5 linked regions of the Ovis aries genome follow. The protein of the gene in region 5 interacts with the protein of the main gene of each other region in a biochemical or structural test. Links are inferred from orthologs where the notes say so. Each region holds a gene or a part of one and is shown on either strand. Other genes may lie near its edges.

Region 1 (4,890 bases), on a different chromosome or scaffold from region 5:
ACCTGACTGTGGTCTGTAGCCCACGAGGCTTGTCTGTCTGTGGAGTTCAAGGGCATGGGTCACCATGCCCTTCTCCAGGGGATCTTCCTGACCCAGAGATGGAACCCAGGTCTCCTGCATTGGCAGGCAGATTTCCTACCCCTGAGCCACCAGGGAGGACCCAGTGTGGGAAGACAGCTGAAATCTGGACTCCACTTGGCTGCTCCTCTACCTTCCCCTGACTCCCCCAGCACCCTTCTCCCCCGACTCCCAAGTCATCAACCCTCTCTCTTCCTGGCTGGGGAGGAAGGGCCCTGGGAACCTCCATGACTGCAGCCTCTGATCAGAGGGTGTTCCCCCTCCCAAGTGCATGTAAGTCTGCGCGTCCCCAGCCACTGCCTCCTGCCCAAAGCTGGGCAGCCCACGGCTCACAGGTGAGCGGGTGCAGTGGAGGGTGAGTCAGGGTCCCTGTGTCCCCTGCCCAGCCACTGTGGGAGGGCTGGACGAGAGGTGTGCCTGCCCAGTCCAGGGCAAGGAGAAAGACGTACCCTGACCTTAAGCTATGAGTTCAGAAGAAACCCACCCAGGCTGACCTGAGAGGGAATAGCCCCCTTTGCGGCCAGGTGGGGTGTCTACCCTGAGCAAGGCCTGGGAGGGTGACCCCAGGCCGTGTCCCTGCCCTCTGACCCCACCTGTCGCCACCAGGTTCCCCCTTGGCTGGGGGACGGCACGCCCAGGACTCTGCCCTGAGCCCTGGGGCCCCCTCCATCCCCACACTGGCCAGGAGGAGTTGGGGTTCTTTCGCAGCTGGTGCAGGTGATAATCATAACCAGGGCGTGGTCCCAGTTCTGTTGACACAACCATCACCTAGGAAGCATTCGAAAAATACTGATTCCTAGGCCTGTCCCAGACCCACGTAGATAAACACCTTGGTGTCAAAGCCCAGGGATCTGTATTTCTAACCAGCATCCCGGGTGGTTGGGAGGCAGCTGCCTGGAATTTCAACCCTGTCTACAACAGCGCTTTTTTCAAACAGCTCCTTACTCATCAGTGGTTCTTGGGATTAATTAAGTAGGCACCTTTCTTCCTTTTTTTTTTTTTTTCAACTTTTTATTTTGTATTGGAGTGTAGGCGATTAACAATGTTATAACAGTTTCAGGTGAACAGCTTAGGGGCTCAGCCATACATATACATGTATCCATTCTCTCCCAAACTCCCCTCCGGTCCAGGCTGCCGCGTAACACTGAGCAGAGTGCCCTGTGCTGTGCAGGAAGTTCCTGTCAGTTCTCCACTTTACATATGCAGTGCGCACATGTCCATCTCCAGCTCCCCAGCCGTCCCTCCCCCATCTTTTTAATCAATCTGAATAGGAAATATCAAAGAGCCTTGCGATGTAGTAAAGGCAAGTTGTTTTGTTAAATGCTAGTCTGAGGCTGCTGGGTTGCCAGAATGTCCGGTGTACTATAGTGGGGGGCAGTCAAGAGACTTAAACACTGAGCTTGGGGAACAAGGTCGAGTGGTCTACCCAAACCCACGACCCCCGCCTTCCGCGCCCCCCTCCGTCCACAGCTTCTGACTCACCTGCGCTCTCCTCTTCCCATCTAGGTCCCTTGCCTGAGCCCATTACCAACGGGGAGATCGAGAAGGTAAAGGCAGAGCCCTGATGCTTCTCGGGCTCAGTCCTGGGGCTGCGGGAGGTGGGGGAGGAGGCGTGGTTAGGAGGAGGACAGGGTCTGGTTCAGGTGGAAACCTCGTGTCTCCTGGCAGCTGTCTCCTGAGCCCCAGGCCGTGTAAGGGCCCCCGCTTGGGGCCGAGGCAGAGGGGACGGGGCCGCCTGGCCAGGCCCTCCGCAGCCACCATCCTGGGTGATGGGCCCCGCCTCCAGCTCCCCACCACACAGGAGGCCATTCTTCCCCCCAAGAACAGAGCGGCAGTGTCTGCCCGCCGCCTGCCCAGGCCCTGCTACTTCCAGTCTGGGTTGGGAGAACAAAGCCCCTCCTACCCAGGCCGAAGGGAAGAGGAGGCAGTGGGGGCCGGGGGAGAGATGGTGCAGCCCAGTGCCAGCTGGGGCCACAGGAACCCAGGCAGAAGCGGAGTGCCCAGTTGCAGCCCAAGGCCTGGGCTCTGGGACAGCGCCCTCAGGGTCAGACTATGGGGTGAGAGGGCTCCTCGGGGTCTGCTCTAAGGCTTCCTTTCCCTGGGGTCTCCTGCCGGGGTCGGGGGGTTGTGCAGCAAGAAGGCCCTGAACCACCTGAGCCTTCAGTCACTTTCCCTGTGGGTCTCTCACTCTCCCCCACCTTATTCCCTCGAAGCCCTTCTTGGCTGCTTGAGGGTTGATTTCAAGAATCCGGGGTCAAGTCCAAGAAAACAAGTCAGGTGGGCTGTAGGAGACTCAGGGGGCATCACGGGTGTTCCCCACACCGAGCAGTCTCCCGGCACCCCCACGCCCCAGGAGGCCCCTCTGTGGTCACTGTGCCAAGGAGGAGTCAACTCCAGAGGCTGCCTGGGAGGACAGGGGCGGTGTGAGCCACCCAGCTAGTCCCATGAGGGATGGTCCCACTGCCCTGGATGGTGGAACCTGGCTGCCCTCTGATCCTTGGAAGAATGTGAAAATGTAAATCCCCGCGGGGCCCTGGCAGGCTCAGGCAGGCTCTGGGGTGGATGGCAAGGCTCAGACCGAGGCCCCGTCTTCCCCGGGAATGCCCTTCGTAGCTCAGGCCTGCCCACCCACATGCCTCCTCTCCGTACCAGGAGAACAGTCCTGAAGCCCTGGCCGAGACGGCCTCCGAGAGCCCCGTGCCACCCCTGGCAAGAACCGCCTCCAGTGACACCAGCGAGGAGGTAAGGCTGGGTGGGTGGGGGGTGGCCCCGGGTGACAGCAAGTCAGGCGTCGCTCACTCCTGGCACACCAGCCCGCCGTGGAGGTCACACGCTGAGTCACGTTCTGTTCTCGTGACCTGGCTTCCCCACACATGGCCTCAAGGGAGCACTTCGCCGAGGCACTGAGGCCCGCTCTCTTGCTCCTCTTTGCAGCTGAATTCCCAAGACAGCCCCAAGAAACAGGACTCCACAGCACCCTCGTCTACCTCCTCCTCGTCCTCTGACCCCATCCTGGACTTCAACATCTCCCTGGCTGTGGCCAAAGAGAGGGCCCACCAGAAGCGCATCAGCAAACGGGCCCCGCAGATGGACTGGAGCAAGAAAAACGAACTCTTCAGCAACCTCTGAGCCACACCCCCTGCACCAGCAAAGCCCAGTCCCACACCCAGCCAACTCCCTCTCCCCCACTTACCCCCAGATCAGCACACAAATCAGCACCAGCATCTCCTCTCTCGGCAAATCTGATCTTTCTAGAGAACCATACTCTTCCCTTACCTCCGACAAGGTGACTGTTTTTCTGTCCTGCCCCAGTTAAAAAGCAGACTCTGTGCCCCTCCTCGCTGGGTGCTTCAGCCCACCTGCAGTCCCCCTGCCACTGTCCTGGGACGTCACTGGGACCTCCATCGAGCAAAGATCCTAAGACTGGGCGAGAGGTCACCTTCCCTCCTGACCCCAAGTGATGACCAGGTCTGGGATCTACCAGGGAAGGATTCTGACCACAGCAACATCCTGGAGTGGACTGGGGCCACCATCCTCAGAGCTGTGACTTGGGCATCTTATTTTTGATTTTTAAGTGCAGTACTACAGAGTTTAGAAGGACTTTCAATTCTTGATTAACATGATTTCCCAGGTTGTTGCATCCGGGACGTAGCAGTGGCCTTACCCTTCCTTCAACTTTTTTCTGCCCCACCCCCCACCCCCCCAGAGACCTAGGCAACATGGGGAGGGTTTGGCCACCCCCTGCCCAGCCCTGAGCCAGACACAATTGTAAGGAAATTCTTACCCGAAATTCAACTAGTTTCTCCAAACCACCTTGGCCTCTGTGTGTTCCTTTGCAGCTCTGTCCATGCGTGTCCCCAGAGTGGCCTCGGGCTGAGAGGATGGTCTAGGGCTCCCTAGGACCCCAAGCCCGGAGCCAGAAGTGGGGTGGCTTTAACCAGAGGGCCTTGAGCCTGTAGCCGCTGGGTGGCTAGGCCATGCGTGGGTCCTGTGGGAGGACCCGCCGGGGCCCCTGTGTGCTTGGCTCACTAGGGCTGCCCTACAGGGATGACCAGCAGGGAAATGGGGAGCTTAGGGCCCACGTGCGCAGAGGGAGGGCTCTAAGACCCACCTTGGATCCCAGGAGCGTTCAAAGAGTGAATCCACAATGGAGCCAGACTTGGAGACGGAAGGCTTGGCTTTAATCTTTCTGCCCACAGCCAGGGAGGTGCAGATGCCCAGGCATGGCCCAAGCTGGTGTCCCTAACCCCCCCAGATACTCTCATCTTACTTGGCTGTGGACCTGACTGGGGATGGGGAGGACAGACCTGGCCTGCTGGGCCCTGGGACATGCTTGTGGCAGGTGGGGTGGAAGGGACCTTCCAAGGCTGAAAGGCCCTGCTCCTCCACGGGAGGTCCGGGTCTCTATGCTGCTGACCCAAGGGCATCCTGGACAGCTGCCAGCATGGCCTGCAGGGCCCAGTTCATGGGCTGTCCTCCACCCCACCCAGAGGCCACTCAAGCCAGACTCCTGGGACTGAGAACAAGCAGGGAAGGTCACTATCTGATGACCACTAGAGCTGTTAAGGTTAGAATTCCACCACTGGTAAAGAGAAACCTTCCAAAACCCTTATCACGGCACCAACTGCAGCAGTTAGGCTGGGCCTGGCCTGACCCTACTCACCCTCGCCCCCACCCTGACCTCTGATGGAGGTCCCCGCAGGTGTGCCAGCCCCACCAGGCCCTCCCTACCTCACCTGCTGGGTGGGGATGCCCTAAGGACTTTTGACTCTGATTAAGCTGGCACAGGTGGCTCAGAGGCAACTGTCACTG
Region 2 (4,302 bases), on a different chromosome or scaffold from region 5:
AGCATCACCGACTCAATGGACATGAGTTTGAGCAAGCTCTGGGAGACGGTGAAGAACAGGGAGGCCTGGCATGCTGCAGTCCATGGGGTCCAAAGAGTTGGACATGACTGAGCGACTGAACAAAATTTCAGCCTACTTGATGGGAATGTATAGAAGGGGTGGAAAACCTTCCCTACCTGTGAGACTTGTATGACTGTCCAGGACCCCAAAGTGAATCTGGGGTAGGTTGAGCTGGGTCTGGCTTTCTTGAATCTGCCCATCGTGGTTTGTTGCATTTAAGTTAAAGAGCCCGCGTGAGCCTGTCTGGGTCTGCAGCAGCCCAGGAGAACTCTGGCTAGTGGGGGTACTTGGACAACAGCAGCAGTAACAACAGTGTGGCTTGAAAATAAAAAGAACGCCAGACAGCTAACTATGGAGCTGACTGAGGATATCCCCAGAAGAGAAAGGAAACTTTCAAAGACCAGGATGGGGAGGGGATTGTGAGCGTGGATGGGGAAGAGTCGAGTTTCTGAATGAGCAGAAAGCTGGCAACTCTCCTTTAAATACTGATATACTCTTCAGAATCCATTCTGGGTGTAAGCCCAGCCCTGATTCACATGGGACAGTTTTTTTCCCTTCTCCTCCTCCTTCTTCATATTTGGGCTGGGAAACATTGTCAGTTGTAATCAGTGTAGGAAAATTATTTTTTCTGGGGGCCTAAGGAAGGAGGTCCCAGTTTATGGAACCCCTTATTTTCATAGATTCCATTTCTTCTATAACCAGCAGCCTTTGGAAGTTTTAGGACCAACAGTCTCCTGAACTTCTATACAAAGACTGCTAAAGACTTGCCCAGCAGGAGATAAAGCCATTATTCTCTTATTTGGCCATATAACTGCTGATCTGGTGGTGAATCCAAGGTGGGAAGCCCTGTAACCTTGTGAGGGATTCTCCAGCCACTTAAGTTAACCCTGAATAGCAACTGCTTTGGATGGAGACCACTGGCTTGAAAAACCATGTACAAACACGGCCATAAAAATCCTCCGACAGGATCTGCGCTGCTCCCTGCTCCCCTTTCCCTGCTTGTGCCCGTCTGTTGGCCACTGTCTGTGCGCCTTCATTTCTACTGGCTTCTCCTTTTATTACAAAAGGTTAGAAGGCACTTCCGTGTTGTTTTTGGACAACACCATGGAACATCACAAATGGTAGGTCATGCACATGTAACATGACTTTTCACCGCCTTTCAGGGGAAAGAATAGGCGGCCATTAGTACATAAAAGCAGCTGAAGCTCCTCCTCTCACAGTTTTGGTTGTAGGACAGGATAGAATACCTTTGGAACCTCAGAAGTAAAACAATACTGTCTCCCCTGGTCCTCTATGAGATTCGGGTGAGCGAGCCTGAGTGGGGGCTTCATGGCTCTGAGATGAAGACTTGCAAGGAGGACCTCCTCGCCTCTTCCTGATGAGCTGTTGGGACCCAGGCTTTGCTGATTAGGAAACTGAAAGACCACAGCACAAAGGGTTAAGGTGGAAGAAGTACAGGTGTTTATTATGAATCAGCAGAAACCCTTTTATGCCTCTGACCAGGTAGGCAACCAAAAAAAAAAAAAAAAAAAATCACTGATCAAAGGACCTCCAGGGTTTCATTTTTCAAAAACACAGATAAATAGCTTACTCTAGATAAATAGCTTCACCGTTTGGGTATTTCCCAGAAGCATCTGAAAATTTTCCAGGGAGTCTGTAGAAGGGGATGTGTAACCAGTACACCCCCACCCCTAACCCCACTAGAAAGAAATGCCCAGGGATTGGGCTGCTGGAAGGGCAACATGGACCCATTCAAATTTCCTTCCAGGGGCCAATCCCTCCTAGCCCTGGGGATGTCCTTAGCAGGTGGCTGTTCCCTGGTGGGTGGGGTGAAGGGGAAGGTTGAGGGTCAGGAAGATGGACGCATGGCTTTTGTTAGAAGCTGCCCATCACACACCTCAGGGAGGTGAGACACTTCTCGGTGGGGACTGCTGCTGCTGCTGCTAAGTCGCTTCAGTCGTGTCCGACTCTGTGCGACCCCATAGACTAGAACAGTCCAATTCTTGCTGATTATTAACTGGGCCCTCATTTCAGAAAGCAATGAGGTTTTTATCAACTGGATCTGACTTTTAAAAATAAAACACAAAAAACTCCCAAAAAAGGAATAGAAAATTTTATGCTAAAAAAAAAGATCCCCAATGAAACAATCAGTAGCACACTGCATCTGTGAAGTGTCCCAGCTCCCTGTAATGGTTGTGTCTCCAATGGTGGTTTATTTCCAAGGTCACAGAGTAGGTGTTACACCCCAATCTTCATATCCACATTCTGCAGGTTCCGTGTCTCATCTGCCGTCACAAACTGGTCTGGGGTCTCTGACGACCCCTTGTTCACCAAATGCACCATCTCCTGAGACTTGCTAGCTTCTCCGTTGAGTCCGCTAGGCTTTCTCTCCTCCATGGTTCCATTCCCATTGTTGATCACCAGTTTTTTCTTCTGCCCACACCTAAGAATTGAAAAAAAAATTATAAGAGAAATGGGTACAATGGTTTTGTCATCATCGTCACAGTTAATACCACCATCACTATGGTTTATGATAATCTGAGTATATTTCATCCTACTGACTTTTAACAATCAGCACTTTTCACAGCAAAGTCCTTGACCCAGTAGCCAAAGCATCACTTGTAAACTTGTTAGAAATGCAAATTCTCAGGCCTACCTCAGACATCCCGAATCAGAAAACTCGAGGAACGGGGACCAGAGTCTGGGACTTAGCAAACCCTCACGGGCTACCTGAAGTGAGTCTGAGAATCAGTGGTCACAGCTATGGGAAGCCAGTGCTCACTGTATCCCCCATTACAGCTAAAGAAATCTTGGGCTCGGAAAATTCCATCACTTGCCCCAGGTTATTGAACAAGTACTAAGAGAACTGGGATTCAAACCCTGGTGTGTCTGACTCCCAAGTTCTAACTCTCCTTCCATCAAATCATGTAAGGGAAATGTTTGCCTCTGTTAAACTCTGGCTGTTTCTGCAGGCTTAGATAAACCATCAACGGGATGACTGTAAATCATTCTGATTTGTGTATTCAAGAAAGTCCCTTTACTTCCTCTCCCAGTCAACACTTTGTTGGCGTTGTCAGGGTTATTATTGCAAATACGAAGAAGAATGAGGCACCGCTTTGCTAGAAGTATAGTGTTAGTTGCTCAGTCGTGTCTGACTCTTTACGACTCCATGGACTCTAGCCCAGCAGGCTCCTCTGTCCATGGAATTCTCCAGGCAAGAATGCCGGAATGGGTTGCCATTCCCTTCTCCAAGGGATCTTCCCAACCCAGGGACTGAACCCTGCATTGCAGCCAGATTCTTTACCATCTGAGCCACCAGGGAAGATATAAGGCCACACTGATTTTTCCCTTATGCTTGGTTCATTGCCATGTAACCTTAGATACGGGAAGTTTAACTATATAAGGGAAGTCGTTCACTATTTAAGATTTCTTAATAACATTACTCAAATGCAGAAGGTCTGCTATAGATGAGCATGACCTTGATCTTGTTGCTGGGTCAGGGCATTGCCTTATCCCCGCCCCAGCCTGAAGCAATGCTTCCTCTTTCCTGGAACACGATCACTGCCACACATCAAGAAGTCAGATGCTGCTTAAACAAAAGCAAAGGTGCAAACCCTCACAACTACAAGTAGAGCAGGAGTGAGGGGAAATGTGCGTTTATTGGACACTTCCTGAATGTCAGGCACTTTACATGTAATTTCACGTAATCTTTACAATAATCTCACAAAGCAGCTGTTATTCCCATTATACAGCAATGGAAACTGAGGCTCAGGGAGGTTTAGTAACTGGCTTGAGGTCACACAGCCAGTAAGAGGGACAGAGGCAACATTCAAATGTAGGCTTTTATGACCCAAAGTCTCAGCTCTACTGCCCTTGCTTTATTCATGCTGCTAACCATCTGGAGATCTGGAACAAGTATGAAGTCGGAATTGTTCACTTTGCCGCTGGATATTTGGAGTTGTAGAGACAAAGCTTCTATTATTCATGATCATGGGCCATTCCCTCTGGAACTGCCAGGGCCATAAACTTTAACCACTTGTTTGGGGAAGTAAAAATTATACCTCCTGAATATGAGGTTGATCCTGTATCCTCTGGCGTGACTCTTGATGAGGGCGGGAGGAAGGACACTTGACCTCTGCTGATCTGTAGGGCTGAGCATATGGATCCACATAGACAAGAGCAGGGGCTTGGAAGGCCTGGCTTGAGGGCCTTACCACTGTGTGACCTCAGGCAACTCACTTA
Region 3 (4,011 bases), on a different chromosome or scaffold from region 5:
GCCTTACTTTCTGCTTCTTAGTTCCCAGAGGTGAGACCAGTTGCATTACCTGTCCCGTATCACTAAAAATTCAAGTAAAATAGCATACTGCAGCAACAAAAATAAATGTGCACAATTCTCAAAATGTTTAGTGCATGATTTTTACAAAAATCTGCTATTTACCCTGACAGGACTGAAGATTGTGATCCTATGTGGCCTCTAACTTCAGCCTGAGATGACGCCTTCATTCTGGTTTTCTGTTGCCATCAGCTCCTGACGACTCACAGAAGCCCGTCTTCGGTGGCTACTTCTCTGCCTGCTGCCCATCACCTTCCACTTTCAGGCCGCAGGCATCCTCAGCATTGGGAGGGAGGCAATCAAGAACCTCCAAAACCAGGCATTGGGGGTCTGCAAGCCTCTAGAATTATGTGTGAAATGTTCCAGCCGAATCTACTTTTCATGGGAATCTGGGATTGCTGCTTAGTTTCCTTCCGAGGGTGGCCCGCCTGCCACCTGCCTGGCTTTGTTAGGTAGGCCGTAGTCAATCACGATTATTTTCCAAGATGCCTTTTCTAAACTAAACGTTTTGGTCAGAGGTCTACCTGTTAAGAAATGAACAACTTGATTCCAATCCTGAGTAAGGCAAGGGTAAAGGAGCGTTGTGATGAGATAAACAACCCTGGGTACACAGGGGCATGGGGATTGACGGGGTGGGGGAAGGGAGTGGGTAGTAAACAGTGAGATCTCAGTCCACCTAAGGGTAACACCCCTGATGTCAGTCAGCTGTGAGGTCAGGTTAAGCATATCCTCTGGGGAATAAACTACTGAAAGTCTGTAATACTAACCTTCATTGCTACTGCACATTAGAAAATATGCAAGCAGTACAGAATCAATCAACTAGGACAAGTATGACACACATATCTAAGCCATGACCCCTACTGCTGGCATCAGCGAACTGGTCTATGGGCCACACATGGCCTGTGATATGGTTTTGCACAATCTGTGTAAAATAAATTTTACATTTAAAATTTAAAAAAAAAAATCAGAAAAGAATATTGTGTGGCATATGAAAATGATATAAAATTAAACTCTGTGTCCACACACATGGTTTTACTGGAACACAGCCATGCCCATGGGTTCACGTATCATTGACGGCTGCCTCTGTAATACACAGTGGCGGAGTTTCAACAGAGTATGGCCTACAAAGCCTAAAATACCTACTTACTTCTATTTACTGAAAATGTTTTTGAACCCTAGTCTCAGAGCTCAGGTTTGGTGAGCTTTCTGATAACATTTTCATAATTAAAAGATAAAATCTGGATGTATGGCTACAAAACATTCCATATTTATTGCTCTGTTTCTTGTGATTTTTCAAAGCTGGGACACCAGACATACACAAGAATGTGCAACAGGTACCCAGATGGACAGTCTCCTGTTTCCCGTCTGCTATTTTGCACTGTGCAAATCCCCTACATGGCGTGCACGCAAGGAGAGGAAAAACAACAGTCACCCACCGTGCTAGATTTAAAAGCATTTAATGACATCGCATATATTTAACAGATAGGGCAAAAGTTGAGAGGTACAGGTCATACGACTGAGCACCGGGCCTGAGTGACCAACCTCCTTGTCAGGCCCAGCCTCTGGAGTTCATTCCTATCAATGCCATTTTGATTGTGCAGTAAGATGAAAATTTGTCATTATAATTGTTACAGTGACAGAGAAATGCACACTATGTATCAAAGAGCAAGGTAATGAAGCAAATTATAACACAGTGTGGTAACGCACAAGCAAGTAACCATTACGGTAACATGACTTTGTCCAGTAAATGCCTCGGTTCCACTTGTACACTTACCAATGATTTAAAGGGTTTATTATACATCTAGTTTTATTATACTTTGTACTAGAATTATCTCAAACATACAATATAATGTATTTCAGCAAAAAAAAAGTTGAAATTACAGATTATTTAAAACAGTATCAGTTTTCTATTCCTTCTTGTATCCCGACATTCTTAACTGCTGTCCAGGTTGATGCAGAAAAGCTGCATGTCGTGTGTTAGTAAGTGATGCCAGGTACAAGTGGCTTGGTCTGTAGAGTTAACAGTGGGGCTGCACTGTGGCTGCAGCGAGATCATCACACACAATCTGTTTAATCCAGGTTAGACCCATCATGGGCGCTTCTAATAGTCAAACCACTGGGAGTAAATGGGAGAGAATGGTGTTGGGACATTGGTACGGTCTGTGGCGAGCACAGGAAATATTGTTTAAGCACCGCTGCCTTGCATACCAACAGCACTGGAGGCGGGTTATTTCCAACACAGCCTCACAAAATTGAGGAACAGTTTAAATACTGAGATCTAATCTATATAATTTCGTTAAAAAAAAAAAAAATCTGGTCTTCCCTCTGCACCTCAAACTTTTGTTAACTTGGAGATAAAGTGTTTAGGTTGTATTTTTCCCCACCCTCCCCGAGAAATGCTCTATAAATTAAAAGAAAAAAAATCAACCACATGGAGAAACATTTAGGCACAGAGAGTAATGTGTTGGTTCTGAGCTTGCATGCTGGAATTTCACTGAAAAGGTAAGAAGAGAAGGGCAGGAAGTGACAGAAAGGAGTTCACTTCTTTTTGCCAAAAAGGCTGAACCTCTTTTCTTTGTCTTTCTCTTTGTCCTTCTCCCGTTTGCCGGGACTGGACTCGCTGGTGATGGTGACGACGCTGGTGGGCAGGGTCTGAGCCCGGCTGGATGCTGGCGTGCTCTGGGTGCTGGCGGACACCTCGTGTTTATCAGAGGAGATGGCAGAGGAGATGGCCTGGATCCATGTGTTCATTTCCTCCTGGAAAAAGGAGGGGGAACACAGGTGAGACTCATCTAAGTTGGATGGACATGAGATACTCTCACTCCGCCTGGGTGACCGTCTGAGCTGCTGTGGGTTGGAAAACTTAGGAATAGCATGTCTGCCTGAGAAGGGACAGTGGCTCTCTAACAAACGCCTGAATTCAGTTGACAGTACCTGAAGGTCTCCACTGTAGTATATGGTCCTACAAATGTGACGAGCTGGAAGACTGGCCTATAGCACGGGGGTCAGGTCCTACCCTACAAAGTGCTTTTTCTTTTTTGAAATAGAAATCTATTTGATATACCACACTGTGTAAACTTAACAGAAGTTGCTTTGTTTGAATTTAACGCGCTACGCATGTTTTCTCATCGGCTGACCATACAGCCAAGCGATGGTTGGTTACAAGAGGTACAGTGCAGTGGGCACAGAGGGGAGGCTCCTAGCTGGGCTGTGGGCTCCACCCCAGTTTGGAGACCACCTCCCTGTGCGTCACCCACAGTTCTCTTCCACAAACTTCAAGAGACCCTGCGCTAGCTTTCCTGCCAGGGTAGGAGAACAATGAGATGACATTTACTGCCCCTGACAGACACAGGAGAACAGAAAACCTTCCAGCGTCTGTGACTGTGGAGACCAGAGGACAGATGCCACCGCTGATCATCACTTATGTGAAGAGCACCATATATAATGCTCATCAGGCCACAAACACTTGTAAACTTGTATTTGAAAAAAAAAAAAAAAAAAAGAATCTTCAAAACTTACATCATCTTTGGCTTGGAAGAGGTACTCATTGCCGTCATTTAGTCTGTAATTTGAAAGAAGAAAGTCAGTCACAATATCACTTAAGGGAAAAAAACCCTTAACTCTCACATCCTCTGTGGGACATAGGAGTCACACTAGAAATGCCCGTCGGAACCCTGCACACATCACTCAATGTGTTCGGGCCTGCATGGGATCGGCAGCCACCCCCGGACATCAAAAGGCCATATAATTGGGCCAATATACACAAGCGACTTGTGTGTTTCAATCACTGCATGTGTGCTAAGTTGCTTCAGCCGTGTGTGACTCTTTGTGACCCCATGGACTGTAGCCCTCCAGGCTGCTCCTCTATTCATGGGATTCTCCAAGCAAGAATAGTGGAGTGAGTTGCCGTTTCTTCCTGACCCAGGGATCGAACCCACGTCTCTTAGGTCTCCT
Region 4 (4,890 bases), on a different chromosome or scaffold from region 5:
CCTTGCAGATGGTACCAAGATAGCAGCACAGAAGGTGAAAACTGGTGAATGGCATTTAGAGACAAGATCTGCAAGGCCTGAGCCCAATAAAGCTTTTGCATGAAATTCAAGTGCTTGGTAGAGAAAATAAACATTTCTATTTGAAAGAGCAGGCTCGGTGCTGGTCTGCTCTGGGCTGTCTTCAGAGTACAAGGTTTTCTAGTGCCCCACGGAGTGCCACACCTGGAAGGCAGTCCCCTTTGTTTATGTTTTTATGGAAGTATATTTGGTGTACAATACTGTAGAAGTTATAGGTGTACAATATAGTGATTCCCTATTTTTAAAGGTTATACTCCACTTATATAAAATATGGGCTATATTCCTCATGAAGTGAAAGTTGCTCAGTCCAGTCTGATTCTTTGTGACCCCCTGGACTATACAGTCCATGGAATTCTCCAGGCCAGAATACTGGAGTGGGTAGCCGTTTCCTCCTCCAGGGAATCTTCCCAACCCAGGGATCGAACCCAGATCTCCCACACTGCAGGTGGATTATTAACCATCTGAGCCATCAGGGAAGCCCAAGAATACTAGAGCGGGTAGCCTAACCCTTCTCCAGTGATCTTCCCAACCCAGGAATTGAATGAGGTCTCCTGCATTGCAGGTGGATTATTTACAAGCTGAGCTACCAGGGAAGCTGGCGATGTGTAATATATCCTTATAGCTTATTTTATACCTAATAGTTTGTGCCTCTTACTCCCCTCCCCCTATGTTGCTCCTCCCTCTTTCCCTCTCCCCACTGGTTATCACTAGTTTGTTCTCTGTATCTCTGAGTCTGCTTCTTTTTTGTTATATTCACTAGTTTGATGTATTTTTTTGATTCCTCATATAAGTGATATCATTCAGTATTTTTTTTCTGACTTATTTCACTTTTCATAATACCCTCCAGGTCCATCCATGTTGTTGCAAATGGCAGAATTTCATTCTCTTTATGCCTGAGCAGTATTCCATCTTCTTTATTCATTTATCTGTTGATGGACACTTAGGTTGCTTCCATATCTTGGCTATCGTACACAATGCTGTTATGAACACTGGGGTGCATGCATCTTCTTGAATGTTTTGTTTTTTCAGATACACATCCAGGAATGGAACTGCTGAGTCATATGATAGTTCTATTTTTAGTTTTTTGGGAAACCTCCATACTGTTTTCCATAGTGGCTACATCAATTTACCTTCCCTTCCTACTGGCAGTGTATAAGGGTTCCTTTTATTCCGCATCCTCATGGAAGGCAGCCCCTTTACTCAAGTTGTTCAGAGTACTATTTCAAGACATTGTACCAATCCTTTCCCAATACCATTTGTAGATACTGCCCCCACTAAAAGGGCAAGTTGTACATCTGTCAACAGGAAAAGGAGACACAGAAGGGCATATCCATCGGTTTGGTCTGTGGTGGGAGGTGAGGGGAGAGAGAGGATGGTGGTGGGTTTCCAGGTTGATTCTATCTACTTATTCCCCTCATGAGCCTCAGGCCTTCTTATTTTTCCCAGCACCAGCTGACATCTACCTTATTCCCCTCATTTGTCCTCTTCTAACCCACCTGTGCCTCTAACCCACTGCAGTGTTGGGTCAGCTTTCACTTCTCCCAGCACTCAAGCTGTCCCAGTTGCACTTGGTTGAGGCATCTTTCCCAATATTGGAGAACAAAACAACCCAGACTCTTCTGCTCCACCTCCCTGCCACCCATCTTCCCCCTCATTAAAAAAAAAAAAATCACTATCCTCTAGAAAAGAGAGTCTGTAGAAGATCTGGGTTCACCCTTTATTTACTATATCAAAGATGGGGCCAGGGCCACCACAAATAAGAGTTTAGGGAGCATTGTCAACTGTTAAACCTAATCAGCCGAACTGGACCAGTCTGCTTATAGTGTGTGAGTACCAATGTGATGGGACAGGGGCAGGTATGAGAGAAGAGGGAAAATTTTAAATTGGGGGCAAAGCCAGTAAGAAACATTTCTCACTCAACAACCCCCATCCATCCAGACTTGGGAACATTAGGCGCGGTAAAGGCATTTTTTTTGTTCCGTAAAAATACTTAGCTGATAATAAGCCCTCCTCTCCTTTAGGACTCAGATCTGGTGTTTACACAGTGTTAGCTTCATTCAGGCCCCTGAAATTTCCACTGTTGGGTGTCTCCTGAGGACAGAGTTACTGAACAATACCAGGCAACCTCCCTTCCCTCCTCCACCTTCATCCTCACATCCCTGAGCAGTCTGCATTGTCTGGGAGATCAAACCAAAGGAGCTCCACAATGACAGAAGTTGCAAAGAGGCTGCCAAAGGCAGAACCCTATTCACCACCAGCCACAGGAAGCTAAGAGCTAAGGTTCCTAGCTTAGGGCACTCAAGACCTAAAGTCCCAGCTGCAAAAGACTCAGGAGGGGCCCAGGGAAGAATGTGAACTTGGGACATACACTTCTTTTGCTACTTCCTTAGCCTCGGGCTGTCACATGTCACCCATCTGTGGTGTGCTAAACCCCTCCTGCTCCCCACACACACCAGAGGAGAGCAGATGTTTCATTTGAGCTAAGGGAAGGACCAACACAAGAAGGGGGGAAAGTAAAGGGCATTGAAAAAGTTACAATGAAAACTACCACTTGGAAAAGTACTCTAGGCCCTTTCCACAACAAGGCAGGTCAGGATCTAACTTCAATGATGAGATTTTTCTGGGAACTATGGATTTATAGTTAAGATTCAAATTCAGTACTTTGTATTTGGAAAAATGCAATCAAAAGGAAAAGTCTTTATGCTGGCAGGTACTTCTCCAAAAGAGCCCTCTCCAGTGTTCTTGACCTTCTGAAGCAGTTTCCCTGCCTTTTGTAATTCTCAAACACTCAGTTAAGCTTTCTTGGGGGCTATGGTTTCTGTGAAATGTTACTTCTAGAGAGGCAGAAGGTTTTTCTAAAGTTTGCTCCATCTAACCTTCAGATATAAGAATCCTGAAGACCCGCCCATATGTCATACAGGGACCCACAAGTGGACACTTTTATATCAATATTAAACAAATAAGATTTCAAAAAGACTCAAATAGCCCCATACGGAGGTCTCACCTTTTGCAGTCTCGCCACCTTCTCATAGCATCCTTCTAACTCCTGCCGCAAGTTCCGGTTCTCATCTGAGAGAATCTCAACCATCTGCTGGGCTCTGGAAACAATGGCAAAAGGGTCGGCTGGCATTGGCTGATATGAAGCAGACGACTGCTGAGCTCGTGGCATAGCGGAATAGCCTTCTCCTGGCTGCTGCTGCTGCTGGTGATGGTGGTGATGGTGTGACTGTGGCTGCTGTTGACTCAGGCCAGGCTGGGGGAGACGGTAATGATCCCCCTGGTGAGCCTGGTTAGGAAGGAAATGCTGCTGTGGCCTAGGCAGGTGAGCCGAGTGGTCTCCTTGGCTGGGGACCAAGGGGTGTTGGGCAGGAGACAATCTAGTAGATGGTGGAGACTGCAGCAAGGGCAAGGAACCCCCAGATGTGAGGGAAGAAGTAGGGCTGTGAGGCTGAGAGTTCCGGGCTGACAAAGGCAATGAGATGTCCTGTGTTGGCCTGGAAAACACGGAGGGTGTACTCAGGTTAAACTCCCACTTGAAGGCACAAGAAAGGGAGATGTGGAGGCTTCTGGGCCCCCAGAACAGGTGCAAAATGAGGAGCAGGCAGGGTTGGACTACAAGGTCTCTCCCAAGACCTCTCCAGTCCCTTCCACACCTGGCCTCCTCTCAATACCTGACCCACAGAGGTGTGATCCTATGGAGGACAGATCAGATGATCTCAAAGGTTGCTTTGTGAAAATCAAAGTAATGCATCCTTATACACTTGTTTCTCAAGTCTAAGCATTTCAAATGCGCCTTTGACAACGTAATTGTCACCTCATGATTTTAAACTAAGCTTTTTCTGGCATCCTGTATATGGCCCTGCACACAGAAAGAGTCACAGAAAGTTCGTTCCACTTGCCCAGAAGGAAAGAGCAAACCGTCATCAAATCTACCCCTCATCTTGTTATCTGCAACTCTCTTTGATAATTCATATAGTCAGAAAAAACTACCTGAGGATATACAGGTACTTACTATATTAGAGACACCAAATAATTATTGTTGATGAGAGTTGTTAATAACTGAATGATGTTTTTTAGCAGCAATAATTCCAAGAGTTGGAAGGGATTATAAGTAACACTATCATACAATTTTGATGTACTGAATCACAAAATGTAACGACTGGAAAGGCCTTAAATAAATTATGTAGTCCAAGTCTGTCAGTGGACAGAGGGGGAAACTGAGGTCCAGAGAGGAGAAGTATTCTGCCAAATATTATAGAATGAGTTAGAAGCAGTGCCAGGGTAGAAGAAGCTAAATGCCATTTTCAGGTTCTTTCCACTACTATTAAATAAAATGCACTGATTTGTAGTGATGTTCAGATTCCCAATCTATTACTTATAGAAAGTTCCAGAAAGAGAACTTTGGCACATGGTTTAATGTGACTTTTCCATTTTGGTACCTAATACTGGACTATGAGCCATTAATGGAAACAGTGTATGCAAATTGATTATTTCCACCATTGCCACAACCAGGAAGAATATGTCAGTATACACCAAACACACACACAAAATGTTCACCTCCCTGCCCCTGCCCAGTTAACCTAATATACTCCCACATCCAGTGGATGCCTGTCCTACAGTTGTTATTTCTCAATCCAGGGAAGACAGATGGCTAAGAGCACAGGATTTGGATCCCAACAGAGTTTGGAGACCTTTCCTACTGCTTACTAGCTGTGTAACCTTGCTCAAGTTACTTCATCTGCATGAGCCTATTTTGCTCCCGAGGTCACAAAAGAATTACTAAAATATTGGGCTCTTCTCAGTGTTGAATTA
Region 5 (5,332 bases):
AGAAACGCTGGGCTGGAAGAAGCACAAGCTGAAATCAAGACTGCTGGGAGAAATGTCAAAAACCTCAGATATGCAGATGACACCACCCTTATGGCAAAAAAGTGAAGAGGAGCTAAAAAGCCTCTTGATGAAAGTGAAAGAGGAGAGTGAAAAAGTTGGCTTAAAGCTCAACATTCAGAAAACGAAGATCGTGGCATCTGGTCCCATCACTTCATGGGAAATAGATGGGGAAACAGTGTCAGACTTTATTTTTTGGGGCTCCAAAATCACTGCAGATGGTGACTGCAGCCATGAAATTAAAAGACGCTTACTCCTTGGAAGGAAAGTTATGACCAACCTAGATAGCATATTGAAAGGCAGAGACAGTACTTTGCCAACAAAGGTCCCTCTAGGCAAGGCTATGGTTTTTCCAGTGGTCATGTATGGATGTGAGAGTTGGACTGTGAAGAAAGCTGAGCACTGAAGAATTGATGCTTTTGAACTGTGGTGTTGGAGAAGACTCTTGAGAGTCCCTTGACTGCAAGGAAATCCAACCAGTCCAATCTAAAGGAGATCAGTCCTGGGTGTTCATTGGAAGGACTGATGGTGAAGCTGAAACTCCAATACTTTGGCCACCTCGTGCGAAGAGTTGACTCATTGGAAAAGACCCTGATGCTGGGAGGGATTGAGTGCAGGAGGAGAAGGGGACAACAGAGGATGAGATGGCTGGATGGCATCACCGACTCAATGGACATGAGTTTGGGTAAACTCCGAGAGTTGATGATGGACAGGGAGGCCTGGTGTGCTGCGATTCACGGGGTCACAAAGAATCGGACACGACTGAGCGACTGAACTGAACTGAACTGAAAGTCACCCGAGATGACAATGGTCTTAGTAGGACACTCTTCCTCCCTTTCCCTGATCACACCCAGCTGTTGAAAGTGAAAGTGTTGGTGGCTTAGTCATGTCCCACTCTTTATGACCCCTAGGACCGCCAGGGTCCTCTGTCCATGGGATTCTCCAGGCAAGAATACTGGACTGGGTAGCCATTCCCTTCTCTAGGATATCTTCCCAATGCCGGGATCAAATCCAGGTCTCCCTCACTGCAAGCAGATTCTTTACTATCTGAGTCACCAGGGAAACACCCAACTGTTACACTCCACTATTGTGATATATTGCTCTATTATTTCCAACAATACCCTAGAGCATAACTTGTTCTACAAAGTAATCCAATCAAAAGGTGGCTCTTCTGAAAGAACCATTTCTGAGATCAGTGTCTGACATTTTTTTCTGACCAGGAGGGCTCTTCCCAGCTGTCTTACTCTCCTGCAAACTAGCTGCCTACAGTAGTATCTTCATTAAATCCACAGATCTCCTTCCAGTTGCCTTTCACCAAAACCTTCACAGTTCTGGAGAGCACCCTTAGGCATAAATTTCTCCAGTCTCTACTGCAAATAGGACTTCCCTGATGGCTCAGAGGGTAAATAAAGAATCTGTCTGCAATGCAGGAGACCCAGGTTCGATCCCTAGGTCGGGAGGATCCCGTGGAGAAGGAAATGGCAACCCACTCCAATACTATTGCCTGGAAAGTCCCATGGACGGAGGAGCCTGGTAGACTACAGTCCATGGAGCCGCAGACTGAGCAACTTCACTTTCACTACAGCAAATGAAGCAAATGCTTTTGGGAAGAGATTAGAAGCTAAGGGTTTTTAAGCCTACTTCTCCCTCCAGGCAAAATCTCTTAGAAGTTGTGGGGGGGGGGGGTGCCAGTTTGAAGTCCTCTCAGTTTGTCTCTCTTGGTTGGTACCACCCATCTCACAAACTGAGGGTGGGGACAGAACCACTGGGAATCCAGTATTCTTGGTGAGCAACGCCCAGAGTACAAAGGACTGAGCCTCAGTATCAAGCAGCCTTGGACAGGAGAAGCCCTAAAGTAATGCTCCTTCTGGGAAGAAAGCTGTCGGACTGGGAGCTAGGGAGGGGAGAGAGCCCAGTATCCTGGGTTGCAGCCGTCCAGAGCTGAGAGCAGGAGGGTGGCAGTGGTCTTGGTTCAAATATTAATACCGCAAACTCCTGAGATTTTCCCTGTGGTCCAATGGTTAAGACTCTGCTCTTTCACTGCAGGGGGCGTGGATTCCCGGTTGGGGAACTAAGATAAGGCATGCCTTGCGGCCAAAACAAAAACAAATACCACAAACTCTTGCCTTTCTTACCGCATTTTCATAGATTTTCTTGAGTAGATGTTTTTTCACTTGATGCTTGCTTGCCCTTAGGACAATTTCCAGAGGGGTTAAACTGAGTTGTTTGGAGTGAATGAATGTCAGACACTTAAGTATTCAATAAATGATACCTGTTACAGGACAGAAACTATATGCAAAGTTTAAGATACCATCACTTTCCTCAAAGACTTTTCTCTAGAAAAGTTAGGCTGTGAAAAAGGGAAACAATATAGACTTTCCCAACGAGATGCAACTTTTAACACCTATGATTATATCATCTTATAAAGCTGAAACTCTAAAGAGCCAGAGCTAAAGCGTGACACTGAGAGCTAGAATTCGCTACCACTGATGCTTTCAGACTTCTGCAGTAACAATGAATGAAAACCTTCAGGAAGTGCTTCCAAACCCAAAAGCCCCATTGAAAAAAAAGCAGTCATTATCTTTAACGTGAGGATTTGGGCCTAGATGGCCCCTTCCGGATCTGGCCGACTCTATCTTTGCCCAGAGATGATATAAACAGAATCCCGAAGCTTCCACCTTGACTGTCACCGCGGCAAGGGCGCCCGGGTCGGTGCCGGACCCAAACCAGGGCCAGATCCCAAAGGGCTGCCCTTCGCCGCAGCCCGTCGGGGCTGCAGGCCAGTTACCTCGCAATTGAACTCCATCTCCGCGTCCATGGTGACGATCCGCACGGTGAATGTCTTAGGCTGCTTCCTCTTGAGCGAGCTGAAGCTCATTCGGGAAGCGATGGCCCCGGCCATGGCGCGGGGCTCAGGCGCAGGACCCTCGCGCCCCGAGGCCTGCGCTCGGGACCTTTTAGCCTCCCTGGAGGAGGCGCACAGGCCTCAGGGCCACCATGGTGGCCGGCCGGCCGGCCGGAGAGCTGTCTGAGCGGCGCGGGCCCCCAGCGGCCGGCATGGGCCGCGAGGACCCTGCCCAGGAACGGAAAGGGGAGTCCCGGGGGCGGACCCTGACGGCCCTGGGCAAGGATCGCGATCGGGGACCGACGGGGAGGGCACGGCCCCGCTCTCCGGGACTCGGGCCGGGGACGCTGGGAACGCCCGCGGACGGGGCCCTTAGACGGCGGCTGCCCAGAGCCCGCGCGCCTCTCAGCGGCCGACGGAGGTCTCAGGGCCGCGCTGCAGCCGGGCGCGCACGTGCGCGCGTGGCTGTCACCGTCCTCGCTCCGCGCGCCCGCGGGAAGCGTCCCCTCCCCGCAGCCCCCGGCCTGCTCCCCGCCCCGCCCTCGGGCCCCCAAGAATCACTACACACGACGCAACCAAACCCGGCTGCTGCCGCCCGGATGCCGCGGTTGGCTGAGCGCTCCGAAGGAGACGGGACTTTCCCGCTGTGTCCCACCCTCTTCGGCATCACTTCACCAATCGGAAGTTCAGATCTGACTGGAGGCGCGGGCCTGGGCTCGCCGTTGAGTGGCTACGGTGACAGTCACTCCGAACGCTTTTGTTTTCTAAGAGGTACGCCTACTCTAGCAAGACTGGTTGAGGTGCCTGAGCCCCGCCGACCCTTTCCCAGGGAAACACGTAGAGGCTGGTACCCGGGCGCGGGAGACGCGTCACCCCCTGTTCCCGTGAGGGACTGCACTTCGGACCAAGTCGGCGCCAGGTGTGGCGCCCCATGGGGATCGTGTTTTGGACACCGGGTGGATAAGCCTGTTGAGCACTTAAAATTAGTTACGTGTGCTGACCTCTGTGTTTCTCAAACTCTCAAATCACTTGTGGAGGCCGTTTAGGTAGGCAGCACTTACCGCCCTCCACCCCCCACCCCCCACCCCCCACCCCCCGGAATCCTTCTGCTTCTTTTTAGGGAGAAATTCTAATTATTACCGAGGGTTATCAGTCTCTAAGTCGTTGTTCAGTCGCTAAGTCCTGTCGGAGTCTTTGAGACCCCATGGAGGTAGGTGGATAATAATTGTACCTACCCCACGGGATTGTTGAGGCGTATAAAGCTTTAGAACGTGGCTGGTCATTTTAGGTCGAATCCTATGAAATTGCTCTTTTTTGTAGATACTTCCCCCCCCTCCCCCAATGAAAGTATTCTGGGGGAATTCCCTGGCTGTCTAGTGGTTAGGATTATGGGCTTTCACTGTGGGAGTTCAGTACCTGGTCAGGGAACTAATATCCTGCAGGCTGCTGGGGCGTAGCCAAACAAAAGGAAAGAAGAAAGCATTTTTCATTTTTTACTCTGTGATTTCCAGTTTTGGATCATAAACATATGTTTTACTGTCATCAAGGATTATATGGATGTGTGTGTGAGAGAGAGAGATGGGGGAATACAGTTTCGTTTATTTAAAAAAATGTTCAATTTTAAATGAGACTTAATGGTTGAATACCTGAATGGCTGAACGAAACACATTCCACAAATGTTAGCCGTTAGCATCACCCCCCCTACAGGTGAAGAAACAGAAAGTCAGCCTGACAGAGTTACTTGCTGGCTATTATATACACATTCAGTTCAGTTCCGTTCAGTTCAGTTCAGTCGCTCAGTCGTGTCCGACTCTCTGCGACCCCATGAATCGCAGCACGCCAGGCCTCCCTGTCCTTCACCAACTCCCGGAGTTCACTCAGACTCCCGTCCATCGAGTCAGTGATGCCATCCAGCCATCTCATCCTCTGTCGTCCCCTTCTCCTCCTGCCCCCAATCCCTCCCAGCATCAGAGTCTTTTCCAATGAGTCAACTCTTCACATGAGGTGGCCAAAGTATTGGAGTTTCAGCTTTAGCATCATTCCTTCCAAAGAAGTCCCAGGGCTGATCTCCTTCTGAATGGACTGGTTGGATCTCCTTGCAGTCCAACGGACTCTCAAGAGTCTTTTCCAACACCACAGTTCAAACACATCAATTCTTCGGCTCTCATCCTTCTTCACAGTCCAACTCTCACATCCATACATGACCACTGGAAAAACCATAGCCTTGACTAGACGGACCTTAGTTGGCAAAGTAATGTCTCTGCTTTTGAATATACTATCTAGGTTGGTCATAACTTTTCTTCTAAGGAGCAAGCGTCTTTTAATTTCATGGCTGCAATCACCATCTGCAGTGATTTTGGAGCCCCCAAAAATAAAGTCTGACACTGTTTCCACTGTTTCCCCATCTATTTTCCATGAAGTGATGGGACC

Evidence for each region. The genes of interacting proteins can lie anywhere in the genome.
Region 1: the proteins of NF2 (region 5) and NHERF1 form a complex in vitro, tested with the Homo sapiens proteins (2 studies listed by BioGRID). The link is inferred for Ovis aries from reciprocal best matches to the Homo sapiens genes NF2 and NHERF1.
Region 2: the proteins of NF2 (region 5) and CD44 form a complex in vitro, tested with the Homo sapiens proteins (2 studies listed by BioGRID, with this or other methods). The link is inferred for Ovis aries from reciprocal best matches to the Homo sapiens genes NF2 and CD44.
Region 3: the proteins of NF2 (region 5) and SPTBN1 form a complex in vitro, tested with the Homo sapiens proteins (2 studies listed by BioGRID and IntAct). The link is inferred for Ovis aries from reciprocal best matches to the Homo sapiens genes NF2 and SPTBN1.
Region 4: the proteins of NF2 (region 5) and AMOT form a complex in vitro, tested with the Homo sapiens proteins (2 studies listed by BioGRID and IntAct). The link is inferred for Ovis aries from reciprocal best matches to the Homo sapiens genes NF2 and AMOT.

What each region holds. Positions count from the first base shown.
Region 1 is NC_056064.1:55,964,666-55,969,555, reverse strand, and holds the end of NHERF1 (Na(+)/H(+) exchange regulatory cofactor NHE-RF1), read left to right. Parts: intron 1-1,584; coding exon 1,585-1,625; intron 1,626-2,730; coding exon 2,731-2,820; intron 2,821-3,012; coding exon 3,013-3,207; 3' UTR 3,208-3,890; downstream 3,891-4,890. UniProt on the Homo sapiens protein: Scaffold protein that connects plasma membrane proteins with members of the ezrin/moesin/radixin family and thereby helps to link them to the actin cytoskeleton and to regulate their surface expression. Necessary for recycling of internalized ADRB2.
Region 2 is NC_056068.1:64,544,391-64,548,692, reverse strand, and holds the end of CD44 (CD44 antigen), read right to left. Parts: intron 2,504-4,302; coding exon 2,299-2,503; 3' UTR 1,499-2,298; downstream 1-1,498. UniProt on the Homo sapiens protein: Cell-surface receptor that plays a role in cell-cell interactions, cell adhesion and migration, helping them to sense and respond to changes in the tissue microenvironment.
Region 3 is NC_056056.1:69,371,235-69,375,245, forward strand, and holds the end of SPTBN1 (spectrin beta chain, non-erythrocytic 1), read right to left. Parts: intron 3,620-4,011; coding exon 3,577-3,619; intron 2,815-3,576; coding exon 2,596-2,814; 3' UTR 1,499-2,595; downstream 1-1,498. UniProt on the Homo sapiens protein: Fodrin, which seems to be involved in secretion, interacts with calmodulin in a calcium-dependent manner and is thus candidate for the calcium-dependent movement of the cytoskeleton at the membrane.
Region 4 is NC_056080.1:121,857,286-121,862,175, reverse strand, and holds part of AMOT (angiomotin), read right to left. Parts: intron 3,573-4,890; coding exon 3,083-3,572; intron 1-3,082.
Region 5 is NC_056070.1:68,770,827-68,776,158, reverse strand, and holds the start of NF2 (merlin), read right to left. Parts: upstream 3,397-5,332; 5' UTR 2,960-3,396; coding exon 2,846-2,959; intron 1-2,845. UniProt on the Homo sapiens protein: Probable regulator of the Hippo/SWH (Sav/Wts/Hpo) signaling pathway, a signaling pathway that plays a pivotal role in tumor suppression by restricting proliferation and promoting apoptosis.